Linked DNA regions of Arabidopsis thaliana. The protein of the gene in region 1 purifies or fractionates together with the protein of each later gene. This does not show direct contact. Each region holds a gene or a part of one and is shown on either strand. Other genes may lie near its edges.

What was found. The genes of interacting proteins can lie anywhere in the genome.
Region 2: the proteins of AT4G23460 (region 1) and alpha-ADR purify together in Arabidopsis thaliana (affinity purification with mass spectrometry; 2 studies listed by BioGRID, with this or other methods). This does not show direct contact.
Region 3: the proteins of AT4G23460 (region 1) and AT5G46630 purify together in Arabidopsis thaliana (affinity purification with mass spectrometry; 2 studies listed by BioGRID, with this or other methods). This does not show direct contact.

Annotation. Positions count from the first base shown.
Region 1 is NC_003075.7:12,243,144-12,250,721, forward strand, and holds AT4G23460 (Adaptin family protein), read right to left. Parts: upstream 5,876-7,578; 5' UTR 5,756-5,875; coding exon 5,669-5,755; intron 5,226-5,668; coding exon 5,028-5,225; intron 4,993-5,027; exon of another isoform or gene 4,973-4,992; coding exon of another isoform or gene 4,970-4,972; intron 4,881-4,969; coding exon 4,767-4,880; intron 4,636-4,766; coding exon 4,385-4,635; intron 4,013-4,384; coding exon 3,877-4,012; intron 3,745-3,876; coding exon 3,565-3,744; intron 3,477-3,564; coding exon 3,384-3,476; intron 3,292-3,383; coding exon 3,080-3,291; intron 3,006-3,079; coding exon 2,942-3,005; intron 2,840-2,941; coding exon 2,660-2,839; intron 2,557-2,659; coding exon 2,464-2,556; intron 2,358-2,463; coding exon 1,978-2,357; intron 1,838-1,977; coding exon 1,648-1,837; intron 1,561-1,647; coding exon 1,357-1,560; intron 1,056-1,356; coding exon 756-1,055; 3' UTR 528-755; downstream 1-527. Other genes in the region: AT4G23470 (PLAC8 family protein), read left to right, coding at 6,146-6,242, 6,327-6,348, 6,675-6,731, 6,818-6,899, 7,134-7,229, 7,335-7,459, 7,558-7,576. UniProt on the Arabidopsis thaliana protein: Subunit of clathrin-associated adaptor protein complex that plays a role in protein sorting in the late-Golgi/trans-Golgi network (TGN) and/or endosomes.
Region 2 is NC_003076.8:7,585,322-7,590,222, forward strand, and holds the start of alpha-ADR (alpha-adaptin), read right to left. Parts: upstream 3,002-4,901; 5' UTR 2,706-3,001; coding exon 2,580-2,705; intron 1,838-2,579; coding exon 1,706-1,837; intron 1,355-1,705; coding exon 1,229-1,354; intron 1,016-1,228; coding exon 953-1,015; intron 871-952; coding exon 773-870; intron 693-772; coding exon 485-692; intron 287-484; coding exon 215-286; intron 135-214; coding exon 42-134; intron 1-41. Other genes in the region: AT5G22785 (uncharacterized protein), read left to right, coding at 4,322-4,384, 4,395-4,523; AT5G22780 (Adaptor protein complex AP-2, alpha subunit), read right to left, coding at 4,779-4,901. UniProt on the Arabidopsis thaliana protein: Subunit of the adaptor protein complex 2 (AP-2). Adaptor protein complexes function in protein transport via transport vesicles in different membrane traffic pathways.
Region 3 is NC_003076.8:18,918,794-18,923,946, forward strand, and holds AT5G46630 (Clathrin adaptor complexes medium subunit family protein), read left to right. Parts: upstream 1-1,644; 5' UTR 1,645-1,786; coding exon 1,787-1,869; intron 1,870-2,036; coding exon 2,037-2,214; intron 2,215-2,329; coding exon 2,330-2,420; intron 2,421-2,544; coding exon 2,545-2,639; intron 2,640-2,792; coding exon 2,793-2,882; intron 2,883-2,966; coding exon 2,967-3,015; intron 3,016-3,107; coding exon 3,108-3,246; intron 3,247-3,321; coding exon 3,322-3,438; intron 3,439-3,509; coding exon 3,510-3,600; intron 3,601-3,691; coding exon 3,692-3,834; intron 3,835-3,929; coding exon 3,930-4,044; intron 4,045-4,132; coding exon 4,133-4,267; 3' UTR 4,268-4,378; coding exon of another isoform or gene 4,379-4,459; 3' UTR 4,460-4,652; downstream 4,653-5,153. Other genes in the region: AT5G46620 (uncharacterized protein), read right to left, coding at 60-335. UniProt on the Arabidopsis thaliana protein: Subunit of the adaptor protein complex 2 (AP-2). Adaptor protein complexes function in protein transport via transport vesicles in different membrane traffic pathways.

The DNA of each region.
Region 1 (7,578 bases):
AAGTATTTTCAAGCTTGGACCTTTGTTGTACTTACGGTCTCAACTAAAATGTATAGTTTTGATCAAATTAAAATACAATGGTGAGCTTTCATAAACCAATAATGTCGAAACTTTGGTATTTCATTTTAAGTTACAAAAATATTAGTTGATTGATAGTATAATCCCTTTTATGTGATGGCGTGTAGCGCCCTTACTCAACCCTTATATTCGGTGGCATTACTTCAATCTCACGTTACTATTAGTCCCCCTCAAGCTTTAAAATTTTCAATTAGTTTTGGTTTTGAATTGATTTAATAATCAATCGATAATTAAAAGAAGATTAGTTTCGACGAAGCTATTTTGTAACCGCATGTTACAGGAAATCATGATTGATATTGATATTAGGAAATTGCTACGTCGCATTACGGGCCCAGTATCTATCTATCTACGCCTATCTGTTGTGAAGAAGGTACCAAATTCTCAACTGGTTTACGTGTACGAATCTCTTCGCTCCACTTAGGAAACTTTTTGATTTCATGTCGGTCACTGAACACTAAAAATAGCATTTGCTGATAATAAGTCATTATCACACTAGTTTAATCAAAAACCTTTTGGGGCATATACGCAACGACAACATCAAAAATCAAAGCTCTTACGAGAATAAAAAAACGAGTGGGTTCCAACACAAAAATTAGAAACAAGAAGTCGGCAACAATTCACTTACTACATACACTAAAAGAAGAAATTTGCTTACCTTAGGGCAGTGTAAAATCAAATCAAGCCTTGAAGAGAATTTCGACTGCTTCAAAGAAGAGAGGAGCGATCTCAGGGGTTGGAGTCTTGACTGCACATTTCAGACCAGGTTGACCCACTATGGCCGTTAGTTCGATCAGGAACGGTATGCCTCTTGGTACCTTGGCCGAAAGATAGAGGACGTCTTGGTTCCCATTCTTACGCTTTGCTATGAAGAACATGTTTGATGCGGCGAGTAAATCAAGTGTTGACTCCACGCTCGTGATGGTTATCCCGGGGAATTCTTTCTGCACCTCGTTTGAATCCGGTAACGATTTCCATGTCTAATCAAAAAAACAAATGTTTTATAACTCAGAAGAACTGGTTTTTAAGACTGTGGTATATAGTTATGATCAGAAATCAATATCTTCCTTCAGTTCTTACTGAGTCTAGAAACTTAAATCGATGAAAACCATATCATATGTTAAGATCTACAGCACCCTAACTCCCCCAGGCTTCTTAAGGCACAAAATCTGTCACTAATTACTCGCCCATCTTAATATCATAAGCCCTCTCCACTATTAGTCAATGACTAACATGGTGCTGTATTGTTAATGAACTCTTTATCATATATTAGTCTTTTACCTCGAGGAAGGTTCCGCGCTCCATCCGACCATCTTCTGAGAAAAGAGCGTTAAGTACAATCTTATCCTCGAAGTACCAGACAGGCTGCTGGTTGTTTTTGACGGCAACTTGCAATACCGAGCTGGTGGAGCCAGTAGACATGTTTTGGGACAATACCATTGGCATCATTGTCCTGGCAGATGCTCCGGGTTGCAGAGGCGGAACCTATAATAGTACAAAACCTGGACATCAGTTTCAGGAATCCAGGATATATAATAGGCGTAGATGTAGAGCATATCCAACTACTATTACCTGAAGTGATCCGACAGCTGCAAGGCCGAATGAGTTTTTGTTGAACTGAATCATGAAGCCATCAAGAAGTGACTGCGAGTTGTTCTCGAGGAGCATACTGTAGAATACTTGACCATCTTGTCGGGTTAATTGAGCGCTAATCTGCAGACCTTGACCCTTTGATGCTGGTAGGACAACAGGCAGTGGACGACTGCAAACAATATTAGGTGATTCAATGAGTTTTATAAACAACAAGGTGATCCAAATAGATATGATTGAATAAAACCAGTCCATCGCACACCCCAACTGTGAGAGAGACTTTTAATGTAATTTTCACCATTCAAAACTCACCCTGACGGAGTTGTGGGTTCATCTACAGGGACGATTGCAGCATTATCTGACCCCATTAGGTCACCTAGCAGATCGGGTACAGGAGCTGGGGCAGCAGCTAGCTTTGTGACATAGCCTGTGGTAGCTGACGGGGAAGCTGCACCATCAACCGGATTACCAGATGCCTCGGGATATCCTGTTTCGCTCCCTTCTACATAATCCTCATCCTCCGTTTTCTGAACTGTGGTTTTCAAGCGGGTTACAAAAGCCTCTGGCGGCTTGTGATACACAGAGGACAAGGTGGATATATTTGCAAGTAGCTCATCCAGGAGCGACGGATCAAGTTGGTTTGAGTCATCAGTAATCACAGGCTTTTCAGCTAAAACAACATCCTTGGCCGCCTATAGTCAAAAGAAGAGCACTGATGACTGTAGGTAAAAGAGATGATTGTTGCTCATCCTCCAATGTCCTTGAACTAGTTTAGTAGAATATATTAAGAAAACATACCTCAGGATCAGTCGATAGAAGACGCCAGTAGATGTATGCACGATCCCTGAGATCAGGATTATCTGTTTCAACAGTAGCATTATTCAAGACAACCTGAAAAATTGAAACATGGCAAAAGCCAGGCCTGTCGTCAAATACATGCGCTTTAATCGATTAGGAGAGCAAAAGGTAGTCTTCATAATGGTCATGGCAGAACCTGAATCATTTGTTGTGGGCCTTCAGTTGGCTTCTTCAGAAATAGTTTGACTGTAGCTGTAAGAAGCTGCAGTTGGACTTGTGCTGGTTCCTCAGGGAAATTCTCCAGGAAGCTTTCAAGAAGTTCATCCGCATTGTCGATTCTTTCAGCATATTCACCAATGATCCAAATCATAGATGCCTTTCAAGATGCCAACAAATACAAGTATGAGTTTCACCGATTATATTTGCGATGGAGAAGCTTCCAGCTAATATACACTACCCAAACGACAAATTTTGTTACCTTAGCTTCTGGTTCATCCAATGTGTCTAGACTCTCACAGAGTGTTGCGATTATGGACTCATACCTGCACATTATTTTAAAAGACATAGCCAAGATTAAAAAGAATTACAGCACTTCAGGAGGCCAAAATCAACTTACGTATTTGGATATCTTCTAAAGATATCTTTGATGACTATAATGGCCTCCTGCACAACGTAGTTTACTTTGATCTTGATCAGCTCAAGTAAAACACTGATGCACCGTTCAGCTGCTCTTTCTAGTTTGATGGCACATCGGCCTATAGCACGAACAGCCTTCCGAACAAAATCAACATCTACTTCCGTGGCATATTCTTTGAACTCCAGAAGAACCTACATTGGAATGGTCTAGAAACCATCATGATGTGCACCAAAACAAAATAACTTGGACAAACGGCAGATGATAAAAGTGTAGTAAGGATTACCTGGTCTATGTTTCTGTCAGAAGCAAGTTTTATCATAATCTCTAACTTCTCCATCTTAACATATATCGGATCATTATACTTGCAGAAGAACACCTGCAATAAAACCATGAAGCATTATCAACAAATATAAGAATATATCAATTGCTTATTTCGGAGAGTCTACGAGACAGGATCAAGCTACCTTGATTTCATGGGCAAGAATAGTGGGTCTCTTTTGGACAATAAGGTTAATGTTACGAAGTGCAACATACTGTATCTCAGGTTCTGCAGAAAGCAATGTAACTAGGGGAGGAGCCATCTTCTTGCAAAGATTTCGAATCACATCTGTGCTAGTAATAAGCTCCATCTGCTGAAGGATCATCTGGAAAGCAATGAAATAAAGAGGACTGGCATTAGAAAATTATGTAAGGGAATATAGTTGACACTTCATAAACAATTTTGACTGGCGAACAGGTGACATTCCAGAGAGAAGTATATATTTTGAAAGTGTCACCTTAACAGCTGAAAGCACAACAGCACAGTTGGCATGTTGCAACCTTGGAGTGACTCTCTCAACAATATTTTCAGCTTCACGAGGATCAGATGCCTTATACCTCGACAAAGCATCTAATATAAAAACTTGACCCCATCTGTGAAGAACACAAACAGTATTAAAAATTGAAAGCTATAAATATGTATACAGCAAAAGGAAACAATAGTCGCTTTATGGATCCCTTTCCCCAATGTTCAAAACCATGAGTCCTTTATCTACACAGAAAACCTTCAACTTCAATAACAACAAAGTTCTGTCACAATTTTAGGTTAGATACAGAACAAAATGCATAGATAAACTGATGCTTTAACACAAGAAGCAAGTCCGCAACTCAACAGATTATCCTACTGTGAATATTTAGGCCAGCCTGTCTGTTCTCCGAAAACAAAACCTAATATGATCTGACTAAAATTAGTCAATCATACACAATCTGAGTGAAAGTAAGAGATGGAAATCAGGAACGACTTACTCAGTACATTCATTCAAAGCTGTAAGGAGCTTTGTGAGGATGGTACTATTGATTTCAAATATGGGACTAGTACTATTCTCTTGGATCTCTGCAAGGGCAGCTACAGCATTTGCCACAACCATTGGATTATTGTCTGATATTAAATCCTTTAAGGCTTCCAGGAACCCCCTATCCTCAACTAATTCAGCATTTATGTCAAACAGTTTAGCAACACAAATAGCTGCTGTCTTGCGGACATATGGATCATCATCCTGAAAAATAAAAAAATTGCAACATGCCAGAAAATACAGAAATATGTCATCAGTCAAAGAATAAAAAAATTCTTGAGGGACATAAATATTTGCTACAAGGTGCAGTGACAAGGTAGCATTAAAAACTCAACCTTTAGGCATTTCTGAAGAGGATCACACAAATATTCTGTAATCTTATCAACACGAATACAGCCCATCGTTCGCACAGCCAAAGCCCGGATCAATGGATTTGGGTCTTGTGAATCCTGCCAAATACAAAGCGAGAACTTAATAACGATGAGTTTCTTAAATAATTTTCCATCCACCAAAATCAGAGAAAGACCAAGAAACTTGCCATATGTTAGGTCTTTATGTTTGGGTAGGCTATATAAGCAAAGTAGCTGAAGTGTTACCTTAACAAAAGTATTTACAGCGAGGATAGCAAGATCTGGCTGGCTTTTTGCATAGTTTATCAGATACAAGTAAACAAGCTTCTTCAACTCCAGATTCTCAGTTTGCATGCAATTGACTACATCAGTGAAAAGTGATGAAACATCCTTTCCAACAGTCATTGCCGCAATAACCTTCTTAACAGCATCTTTCCTCTTATCCTAGGAACATAAAGAAAAAAAGAGAATTTAGGAAACTGAAGCAAAAACGCATTCCATCATCTTCAATCAGTACCATATACAACCATTGGACCATCTACTCAAAGAAGAACTGTTTCTATCGCCCAACCACTGCATTGATCCATATTCAAAACTTATGATCCCCCAATCTAAACACATCCCCGCATTAACCATTATTCTGAATTTCATTCCATTTCTACATAGTTTCAAATGAACCATTGAACACATAACATTATAACGTACACCATCATCAATCTTTCAAACTAAAATATCAACAAAATTAACCGATCAATTCGAATCCATAATCATACAGATCTACCAGAAAATGATTATGCATAATTCAACGAACGAGAAAGAGATGAGATTAGAATCGTGAAAATGGCGGATCACAGATCCATATATGAAATTAGACGGAGAAGAAGAACCTTGTACTGTGAATTCAGCTCTTCCTTGAGCTCAGGGATCTCTCCCTTCTTCGTAGTCGAAAAATATTTAGAATCATGACCGCTCATTTTCTCCCTTCTTCAACCTCCACACTTCTTCTCCTCCGAGACGATCAGTGACAAGAGACACAAAGACACGAAATTGCAAAAAGTAATAGGTCGGGGTTAAAATAAAACTAATTACAGTTTAACCCTAGTATTATTGATATTTGACGAAATTGCCTCGTGACTTCGTCTAGTCAACGCCAGTTGCCATCCAGGGGAGGGGAGAAGAAGAATTTGTATTCTCAAGTTGTCGATATGAGAGAGATGAAGTCAGAAACACGTTTGTGAGAGAACAGCTTTTAGATGTGATTGTGGATCAGATTCTCAAAGACTTTTCGCGAAGAGTCTCTGATCCTTAAATCGCTTCTCTCTCGCTTGACCTCATTTCGTCGTCGAAATCAGATCCTTGTGAAAATGCCGAAACAGGATATGGAGAAGATGGAGCTTCGTAAGAACTTCCGTAATGTTTGGCATACCGATCTTACCCACAGTATCCAGAACGATACTCCTTGTAATTTCTCACTCTCTCTTTTTGAAATTTGTGGGTTGGATTGGTTTTGGTTGTTGATTTGATCGATTTCTGTGTTGTTCGCAGATTGTTGCTTCGCGTTGTGGTGGTAAGTTTCGATTGATCTGAGATTTTTCGTTGCTTGTTCTCTCTGTATTTGGAATTTGGATATTTGTAGTAGTCGGATCTTGGTTTATTTGAATTGACCAAGAGTTGACTTCGATTTAAATTCTTAGATCGGCTTGATTTTCATTTCATCAAGAAATGTGTATGGAGTGATCTGAATTTCACAGATAATATGAGTTTCTCTGATCATTGTATGTGATAATTTCAGTGCATTAGGAGTTTGACATTGTATGATTTGTGTATCTCTTTGGGTCTGATATGTTTAGCATACATATGGAAATGTCTTGTTTCTTCTTCTTCTCATTGCAGTGCCCCTTGTGCATCATACTTGCTTCGCAAGCGTGCGCTTTACGATGATATGTCAAGGTATATCACACATTCAGTCACTTTCATATAGCTCCATTCCAATTCCATCTTCTTAGTTTAAGAAGATTGTTTTTTTTGTCTCGCAGGTACGTCTGCTGTGCCGGTTACATGCCTTGTAGTGGTAGGTGTGGAGAAGCCAAATGTCCTCAACTTTGTCTTGCCACTGAGGTAAGAAACTTGATTTTGTTAGCTATTATCTTCAAATGAAGTCTTTTTTTTTTTTGGACAACAAAAATGAAGTCTTTTCTATAGACACAGCTAGTCTAGAAATTTCGATTTCAGCATCTGAATGCTTCCTGTAGCATATGCATACAATCTCAGTCATACCTAGGTGTGACTTGTGAGGCAACCTCGCGAAATTTTAGCAAATTTCTGGTCTTCTAAATAGCAGATCAATCGCAGGTCTTCTGCTGCTTTGCAAACTCTGTGGCCTCAACTCGCTTTCTTCTGCAAGATGAGTTCCAAATTCAAACGACAAAATGTGACAACTGCATCATTGTAAGTATCCTCATTGCCCAGACCATGCCTGTTACTGACACTCACAAGCAATTACAAACACGATAAACAAGTTTCGTAATCTGTGCTGGCTTTTTGGCTGTGTAGGGTTTCATGGTTTGCCTCAGCCAAGTGGCTTGCATATTCTCCATAGTTGCATGTATTGTCGGTATGGATGAGCTTTCAGAAGCTTCTCAGATACTCACATGTTGCTCTGACATGGTGTACTGCACGTAAGAATCCCCCATCCAAAGTGCCATTCTTATAAGTTTCGATCAAAACCCAATTTTAACCTATTGTCCTGATATATCGTACTTTGCTTGGTCTGCAGGGTTTGCGCATGTATGCAGGT
Region 2 (4,901 bases), on another chromosome or scaffold:
TTCATGGTATCAACATTTCCCCAGCTATCCGACGAACTTACCAGGGATAGAGCTTCAAACAGCACAGCATGAGACGCATTGTTTTTATTCACATTTTTCACAACATCTGTCCCCATCAATATTCGCTGAAGGACCTGAAATTTCCATGAAATGCCATGCCATGAGAGGAAATTCAAAGACATATATTACAGATTTACACATGAAAATATTGAACCTCAAACAGAGCTTTTCTGGTACTGGGATCTTCAATGGTCGGGAAATATTGAAGAGCCCTCATTGCCTTAACCTGTACTAACCAAAGATATATAAGTATCCACGATATCTTTAACTGAGTAACAAAAATACACCAAAGCTGGGCCAAGCCTCTATTTTCATAAGCTAATTTCACATAAAATGTTTAAAATGCACAGGATTTGTGAAAAGGATGCGATTAAAGAATATTTAAGCTATTAAACAAGAGTGAATAAGCCGAGTTAAGTCAAACCTGGAGCCAAGGAGATGGGATGCCATAGTATGTGTACTCCTGAGGAACATCTTGGTTCCTAGCAAGGCGTTCTAATATTTTGACACATTTAGGTAGACAACTTGAGTACGCCTCATGATTATTAGATACCAGAGCTACAAGAAGACTCGTAGAAGACGTCAAGACACCAAGATCTCGTTCATCCAAAAGTTGTGCCATACGATCCGCCCTGGAAGTATACGACAAAGAGAATATGAAAGATGCACTAGTAAAATCAAAGAACCAGTAACCCCACAGTGTTATACACACCAGCCATCCACGTTGACAGCATCAGGATTTTTTCGGAATAAGCGCAGTAGGCACAGTGCTGCTTTTTTCCTTACAAGAGGTCTGCAACTACTAGAAATCTGCAGCAAAGAGACCCCATAACATAATATGTTTAGTAATATTGGAAAAAAATATAACCTCTCATCTTTAGGAGTCACTTACAAGTAGCTTTTGAACATCAGGTGCCAATGATTCAGCAAAATCCCTTCCACCGATATTTCCAACCTACAGGAGAACGTAAGCATGGCAAGGTAAGAAAGCTAGAAAGAAAGGACCAGTTTCATGAAGTAAGTGGCTCTGAATCGTGAAATGATAGAGCACAAAAGACATAATGTACCAAAGACTTCCATTAAAACAGTCATTTAACAACATCTTATAATCAGAAGAACCTAACTATGCTCTAAAATCTCAATACAGGGTGGACAAAAGACCACATACCAAGGTCAGTGCTAGGCACTGGAAAGTCTCATTCCGACCAATAATATCGTTCCGCACTGTATTTATTGCCAACTTCAAAAAGTCATGGTTCTCATTGAGCAAGCAAGATGTAACAATGTAGCCAACCTGTAATCATGGATGAAAAGTTCAATACCTGCAAATTAGTTAAGGAGCATGAAACAATATAAATTGGAAATACAAACCCTTGAGATACAATGCATGGTTCTGGTTAAGAGTTTCTAAGATGTTACTAAGTAACTCGTGCTTATAAGTAATTGTCTGCAATACTTTCCCAGGTCAAGTCAAGTTGCAAACGCATGAAATGGTATCTAGATCTAACTGTGTGATCTTCAATGAAACTTTCTTTGTTTCAGCTTGATCAATAGAATATATTTCAGCAAACACCTCCATCTATTATCTTCTCCTAGCCTTACAAAGAAAAATTTCTTTGTTTGAGCAAACAAAACGTTGGTTTACCTGCTTTTCTGGATACTTTGGCGCAGATATAAGAGAAACCGCCTCCATATGGCCAAAATCCACATCGTAGCCTAGCATATGTATATAAAGCATTTTCCAGACATATTTCTTCTTTTTATATGGTGTCAAAACCTGCAAAAATAAAACAGAATGTCAAGTAATCAAAGAGTTCTTGATTAATTCATTTCTAACATGAACCCCGAAAAAGAATAAGTTTAATGTTGGTCCAACTGGAAACACATGGATCCACTACAGGCCTGCTACAGCTCTGCTACGTGTAAGATGGAACAAGAATTTCACTCCAGAAGTTCTTACAGCAACAAAGCTTAATCTACTTCGTAATGAGCTATTCAAAATTTTCCGTGACCATGATTTAATTTCTTAGACCATCACTACATAACCGAATTTACTGCCAGACCATTCTTTTCTTCTAGTTCCTAAATGTCATCATATATTCAGTAATGAAATTCCAAGTTGAAAGCAATAGTAGTGATGTTTCAAAAGGTAGAATAATTGCTAATCTACAAGGATTTGAGCTAGCTATACAACGGCAACATTATACTGCCTATCTATTTTCACAATTGGTGTTAAATCAAAATTTATTGCCTCAATCCGATAAAGTAAGAAACTACAAGCTCCAAAACTATCCACTCGGCATGTGACCAGTGACTGTATCTTTGTTTCATCTACATTCTTATCTAACTCCCTAATCAACCTAATAGCTCTAACATTCGATTGCATTGGCATTGCAACTGCGAAGGATAAATCTCCAATATCTCTAATAAACCAAAACCTCAGCGGATACTCGACACTGAATTACCTCTCTAATGAGAATCAAAACATAGAAAATAGAATGGAGAGAATTGAGAGTAACCTTCTCATTCTTGAAGCATGTACGAATGTTTCCGAGCTCCTTATCAACTCGTAGTCTCTCCGCTTCCTTGTTCTGGCAATTACGAACGTCGCTGATAAATACGGAGAGACCTCTCATTCCGGTCATGGTTGAACCAAATCCTCAAATCCACCGTGCTCCGCCGCCTCACACGGCGCAGATCCAAACTCGCGGCACCGGATCTAACTACGAGATAAACCACAGACTAAAGCTGAAGCATAAGCAATTCGAGAGAGGTGAGATCGAAATCCCAATCTAGAAACGGAAAATGGCACCTTCAATCGAAGAAATTCAAAAGGAGAGACTGATCTTTGGAGAAGAGAGACACGCCTGCGGGAGAGAGACGAGAGACGACTTTTATTTTTCTTTATTTACAACTTTGACTATTCAATTTTGTGTAATTCAGTTTTTGTCTGTTTTGAAATTGGAATCCGAAATTGACCCGTCGAAAAACAGAATTAACGCGTCTAGACATTTGGACTAAATTTGAGGATTTATAAGTTTGCGTAATATTTTGTTAAAAAGTGTATCCTTCTGCCTTTTTGGGTAATATTTATTTACTGCTGTTTCTGGTTTCACTTTTTCATTTATTTTTAAAATGACTGTTTTCTGTCGCGGTCAATGCATTCAGTTGTAATTCAATGTACCATGAGAAAATCCTTAACAAAAAAAATGTACCATGAGAAAATCCGGTTATGAATTCGGGTCAGGTCAGGTCATGCAATGGTTTAGCTGGTCCCAACTTTTTTTTTTTTTTTTTCGTCAGACATGGTATTTGTTGGTATTAGTGGGAACGAAACAAATGGTTTATACGCAGTGCTGATTTGATTATTTTTTGTTATGAGCATTTTATAATTTTACTCAATGTATTATGAAATCTTTTGAATAAAGATTTTAGATACTCTATATTTCAGATAACAATTTTGCTAGAATCATTGCAACCAAATTACTCTGGTGAATAGGAAAGTATTGTCACTACTCTCGTTTTTGAAATACTAAATGTGTCTCATAACAAGATCATAATCTACAAGACGATGAATAGGACGAATTGTTGAGCTAGAAAAGCAGTGACGGCGATAGCGTATGCTCCTAGGATGTTGTTGTTTGGCAGTTTGAGTATCGAACTCGTAAACTTATATAACTAATGGAAGCACCAACCATTAAACTACAAGGCTTTTATATGATTGTGATGATAAAGCATCAGCTTGCTGGGCTTTAGATTTGGGTCGGCCCTGCTTATTGAACATTTTTAGTTTTATGGAAGATATTGTCCCTTTGCGTTAGCAACATCGGCTGATTTCTTAGGTATTTCGAACAGCTCCAATATCTCGGTTGAGTTTTTCTTCAAGGCATGACAAATTTTAGGGTATTCGATACTTTAAGAGAAGTTGCTTCTTCAACTTGAGCGACATTGATGTTGGTGAAGCAAACTTGCAAAAGTCAGACTTACTCAAATTTTGCTTAATCACTCTTGTTTCACAAGCCCCGGATCTAGGGTTCTTATATTTTTTTTTATTTGCAAAATTACAAATGATATAGTAATATAAAAAAATCATACTTTTGTCAATTACAAATTATGTAGTAAAAACAAAAAAAAATCATGCAAAAATTGATAAAACAGCTTTTAAATCCATAAGCAGTTTGTAAGAAAATTAAAAATAGTAAAAAAAAAATTTTCTTTCAATTATATTCTTCAAAGTAATAGTAAAAATCTGGTTGTATATATGTCGGTTGAATGTCCCACCAAGGCCAAGTCCCCACTCTATTCACACCTCAAATTAGATCAGGTTTTTACAGGTGAAATGCTATGCGTTGGATGTGTTTTTGCAATTTCCCCCCTTTATGACAACATTAAAATCTCTCAATGTGAAGGCTGGTGCGAAAAAACAGACCTCCCATCAGAAAACTCATGGAGAAACAGATTGAAAATATATAGGCACAAGAACAAGCTGATACAACCACTGACCTCACAATACAAATGTTCAGAATGAATGCAAAATTTCTTACCTAACGCAACCCGCCCGCTTTGGATAAACGGCACAAATATAATCAAAACTAGCTTTTTTCTCTCCCTTGGCTCTACATTTACTCTCCCATCATTCCATATTTTCGCCATTACATTCTACAATAACAGAAAACAAACTTTTCGACATGTGCAAGTAATCTTTTATCCCAATGAATTTAAAGTAAGCCAGCAAGCATAGCTCCTGGATCATCAGCTAAAGCCGCTGGGCTAGGCGGTTGAACTGCTGGTGATGGTGCTGGACCTGCTGCTGGAACTAGAGCTCGAGATCCCATTGGAAT
Region 3 (5,153 bases), on another chromosome or scaffold:
ATTTGATCAATCCCTAGAGTTTCACTAACCAATATCATCAGTCAAAAAGGAAAACTGACCTGAACACCACCGTCTAAAGCAGCACAAGGCTGAAGAATAGGACCAGGATTCGACCGTTCAACAGCAACTTGAACCGGTACACCAAAACCTTTCCTTGGTCCAGTTTCACGAAATCTCGTCTGATTCTCTTCCCGACGTTTATCTCCATCACCAGAAACAGTTCCAGTGTTGTTATCTCCACCATCACCATCTTCATCTCTCACAGCTCCATGACCACCACCACCATCGTTATGACCAAAACCAAGTATACCCGTTAACTTCTTCAAAAAACCCATTAACCCCAGATATCAAATTCGATCTAAAGCCCTCAAATTTAACAGCTTTTCTCTCAAATGAATGATCTTCCAAAATTAGGGTTTTCGAATATCCCTTTCCTCTCCCGATTTTTGCTACTTTCTCCGATCGCTTCTTAATCCAACAATATTCATTTCCTACTGTTAAAACCCAGAAATCTCTGTCTTTAATCTCTCTCTCTCGTGAACACTGTGTTAATCTTCTTATGCACTGCAACAAATTATAGAAAGATGAATTTTTTTTTGGATCAAAGACGGATCGAGCAAGATCTTCTTTTTATCATTAACGGCGCGGTTTCTATTAATATACTAAATAAATATTCCACATTTTTTTTTTCTCTCGTGAGTGAACAAAAAAAAAAATTGCGATCATTTACAGTTTTACTTTTACACATCACTGACATCAGAGAGAATTGAACAAAAAAAATTCGAAAAGTTTCGTGTTAATCATATATATGAAAGTTGGCTAACTCTCTCCAAATGATTGACACATCATCATTTTAGCATTTGCCATGTGTCTATTAAGTAATTAATGTAAGCTCTTCAACTTCTAATTTATAAGTTAATGATATATTTATTATTTAATTTTACATATTTAATTATAGTATTACTAAATTTATTTTAATATTACATGATTTTTCAATAAAACCATTTAATAGTTTTCTCATACTCGAAGATTTTTTTTTGTAATCCAAACTCAAAGTATGAGTATATAATAGTCGTGGATTATTTAATGATTTGAGTAAGTTATTTTCTTAAATTGATATTATATTCTCTTAAATTTATATTTATACAATAAATCATTGAGGTTGAAGAATACGTAAGGAGCTCCATCATCAAATTCTTAGGTTTCTAGAATCCAAAACTACCCTCTCTTAAGTTGGTTTAATACAAACGTTATTTATGAATTATGTGTATGATGCATTGTTGAGAATGTTGTTAGAAAAAATATTTTTAAAATTAAAAGGAATTGTTTATTGTATAAGTGAATAATTAGATAAATAAAAATTATATTTAAATTAAACAATACGAAAAAAATCCGAAAATACCGCGGCGTAGCGCAGGTGATCACCTAGTGTTAATAATTGAAAATTAAGAACTTCTATACATTGTTTGTTACCTAACCATTCTTCATATGTAAACAACAATTAAAAATGATGAAGGATATAATGTACTACAGGCCCATAATTGAGACGCACAGGCCCAGAATCGAATAAGACCGGCCCATTCCAAAATGACGACTGAATTCAATTTTGTTTCTATTTTTTGATAAAAAAGAAATTAAAAAAATATCGCATTTCAGTTGTTCAACTTCTTCGTCGTCGTCTTCTTCCTTTGCTCCGTCGTCGAGATCTCGTCGAACCTCAAATCTCAAATCTCCTGTAACCAGATCGTCTAATTATCCGATCTGCGTTTCGAATCTCAGATCGAAGATGCCGGTGGCTGCTTCCGCCATCTATTTTCTGAATCTCCGTGGCGATGTACTCATAAATCGCACCTACCGAGATGACGTCGGGTAAGAGAGCTTCTCCTTTTCTTCACCGTCGATCTCTTTAATTTTTTGAATTCGGCTTCATTTTCAGCTCCATGTTTTGTTCTTATCGCTTCTAAGTAGTCGTACTTTGTAGGATTTTAGCTGTGAGATTTGAGATTTTAAAATTTTGATTTGATTTTGATACTTAGGGGAAACATGGTGGATGCATTTCGTACGCATATAATGCAGACGAAAGAGTTAGGGAATTGTCCTGTGCGTCAGATTGGTGGCTGCTCCTTTGTTTATATGCGAATCAGCAATGTCTACATCGTCATTGTTGTCAGTAGCAATGCTAATGTTGCTTGTGGATTCAAATTTGTTGTTGAGGTAAACTTGTTTTTGTGTTTCATTTTAATATTCCACAATTGTTTTGATTCTTGTTCAAATTTCAAGAGAGTCAGATTGATTCTATACACATACTGCTTTTGATTCACATTTTCAGGCTGTAGCTTTGTTCAAATCATACTTTGGTGGAGCTTTTGATGAAGACGCTATTAGAAATAACTTTGTTCTGATTTATGAATTGTTGGATGGTAAGTAAGCCTGATAGGGTCATGATCAAATCACTTTCTTATCACTTGTAAAGTTGCATTAGTCGTTATATGTTATTCTATTTTGTGGTAACACCAATGAATGATATTTTGTATTGAATTGCAGAGATTATGGACTTTGGCTATCCACAAAATCTCTCACCTGAAATTTTAAAACTTTATATCACTCAGGAAGGTGTACGGTCACCATTTTCATCGAAGGTAAAGGCATCTATTTGTTTGTGTATACAACAGATTTTGTAATTGTGTTGGTGTGTGGTTCTTCGAAGTTAAGCAGTATTTCCCGCAATAAATAGAGATTATGTTGCTTCTTCACTAGATATGTTTGCATTCATAAGCTTCTTTTCATTACAGCCAAAAGACAAACCTGTTCCAAATGCAACATTACAAGTTACAGGTGCTGTTGGTTGGAGAAGAGAGGGCCTTGCTTACAAAAAGAATGAGGTGAGTGTTGAGTTTCTTTCTGTGTGTATGTAGATCGGCTAGGTTGTGCGGTAGTGATGATATTTTGCATTCTCTCAAACGCAGGTGTTTCTGGATATTGTGGAAAGTGTAAACCTTCTGATGTCCTCTAAAGGTAAATAATTGCCTTTTATGAAGTTTTTTGAAGTTGTCTTTCTTGTTGATTTGCTGTGTATGACTGGTTTTGCATTTTATGGAAACGGTTAGGCAATGTTCTTCGGTGTGATGTGACGGGGAAGGTTTTAATGAAATGTTTCCTTTCGGGAATGCCTGATTTGAAGTTGGGGTTGAATGATAAAATTGGTCTTGAGAAGGAATCAGAAATGAAATCTCGCCCAGCTAAGAGGTATACGTTGTTAATACATTGAACATCAGTAGCCACTGACTTTTCTTTGTGCTAACTGACTCTCGTTTTGTGCAGTGGTAAAACCATTGAGCTTGATGATGTCACATTTCACCAGTGTGTGAACCTGACCAGATTCAACTCCGAGAAGACTGTTAGTTTTGTACCACCGGATGGAGAGTTTGAACTGATGAAGTAAGTTTTCGAATGTCCACTGTTGCAAATTGTTCTGGTACCAAATGTGTATTAACTTTATGATGTCTCAGGTATCGAATAACAGAGGGTGTAAATCTGCCTTTCCGTGTATTACCAACAATCAAAGAACTTGGTCGTACACGTATGGAAGTAAATGTCAAGGTACATAACTTTTCTCAAGGATTACAGGATACAAAAAAATTGGCTTGATCTTTGCTCTCTTACAATCCCTTCCCGTGTTTTGTCTGTTCAGGTCAAAAGTGTGTTTGGTGCTAAAATGTTTGCCCTTGGGGTCGTGGTTAAAATTCCAGTGCCAAAACAAACAGCCAAGACCAATTTCCAAGTGACAACTGGTCGCGCTAAATACAATCCATCAATCGATTGCTTGGTTTGGAAGTGAGTTTATATAATTTCCCCTCATATTCATCTCTATAATTCTTTTGTTGGTGTTTTATCAATCATTCGGCATCTTTCTCTCTTTTACTCTTTAGGATAAGAAAATTCCCAGGGCAAACAGAGTCCACGCTAAGTGCAGAAATTGAGTTGATCTCAACAATGGGAGAGAAGAAATCTTGGACAAGGCCACCGATCCAAATGGAATTTCAGGTCAGTCTTTGTCTCTTTTAGGCACTGTTAAATAGAACCAGATTTGCTTAAAGCAATTATTAACCGTCTCAGCTTTGTTCTTTTCTAGGTGCCAATGTTCACAGCATCTGGTCTGCGAGTTCGTTTTCTCAAGGTACGCATTGTTATCTATGCTTTTGAAAGTACCATCCTTCCAAAAAATGCAATGCTAAGTAGCAGAATCTCTAAGCCATTGTGTCATTAAATCCGTTCAAATCTTTTATGTGATTTGCGTTTTGGTTAATCTGTCTCTGGTCTTTCAAAAATTGATTGCTATACTACTTTTTTGGACCTGACTATCCGGAACGATTGGCAGGTTTGGGAGAAGAGCGGTTACAACACGGTCGAGTGGGTTCGATACATAACGAAAGCGGGATCTTACGAGATCAGATGCTGAACATTAAACACAGTTCAGGTTCAGTGACATCAGACTTAAAAGTTTCATGGCTTCTAGTTTTTTGTTCCTTATGCAAAACAAAAACAAAAGAGTTAAATATGTTTTATACCTTGTTTTATGTTTGTTTTGTCGATTAGAGATATCTGTGTTAATATGATTTCTTATGTCTTAATTTGGTATTGAATTCTGTTTTTCTTTCTTTCTCTGTTTGTGAAATTGTACGAGATATAGTTTAGATTAATTCTGGTGTAATCGAACGTGATAGAGTATTTGTGAAAGCAGTCGGATTCTTTTTAGTAGTAGAATCGGGTGTAATATGTTAATGAAAACAAATTTTACTTGAGAATAGTTCGAACTTCGAAGGTTTTTACACATAACATAGATCGTTAAAATCTTTTGTAAGTCTACTAATTCTTCAGAAACAAACGGGAAATTGTAAAAGTAATAGACTATCAAAGCTACACCCAAGTACGTCTTTCACTCGTGGTTGGTTATGCATGATCGAATTTCTATAACTTCGCTTATGGCAAATGTGGTCATGGTGGTTCTTTGGACTGTGTCATGTGGCTCTCTGCCCACAAGACACCAGATATCATGGATACTTTGCTACTCACATGCAACTCAAATATGGTCTAAGACAACAAACATGATTCTATTGAACTGCTTCTCCATCGATTGGGATCACCTCGTCGGT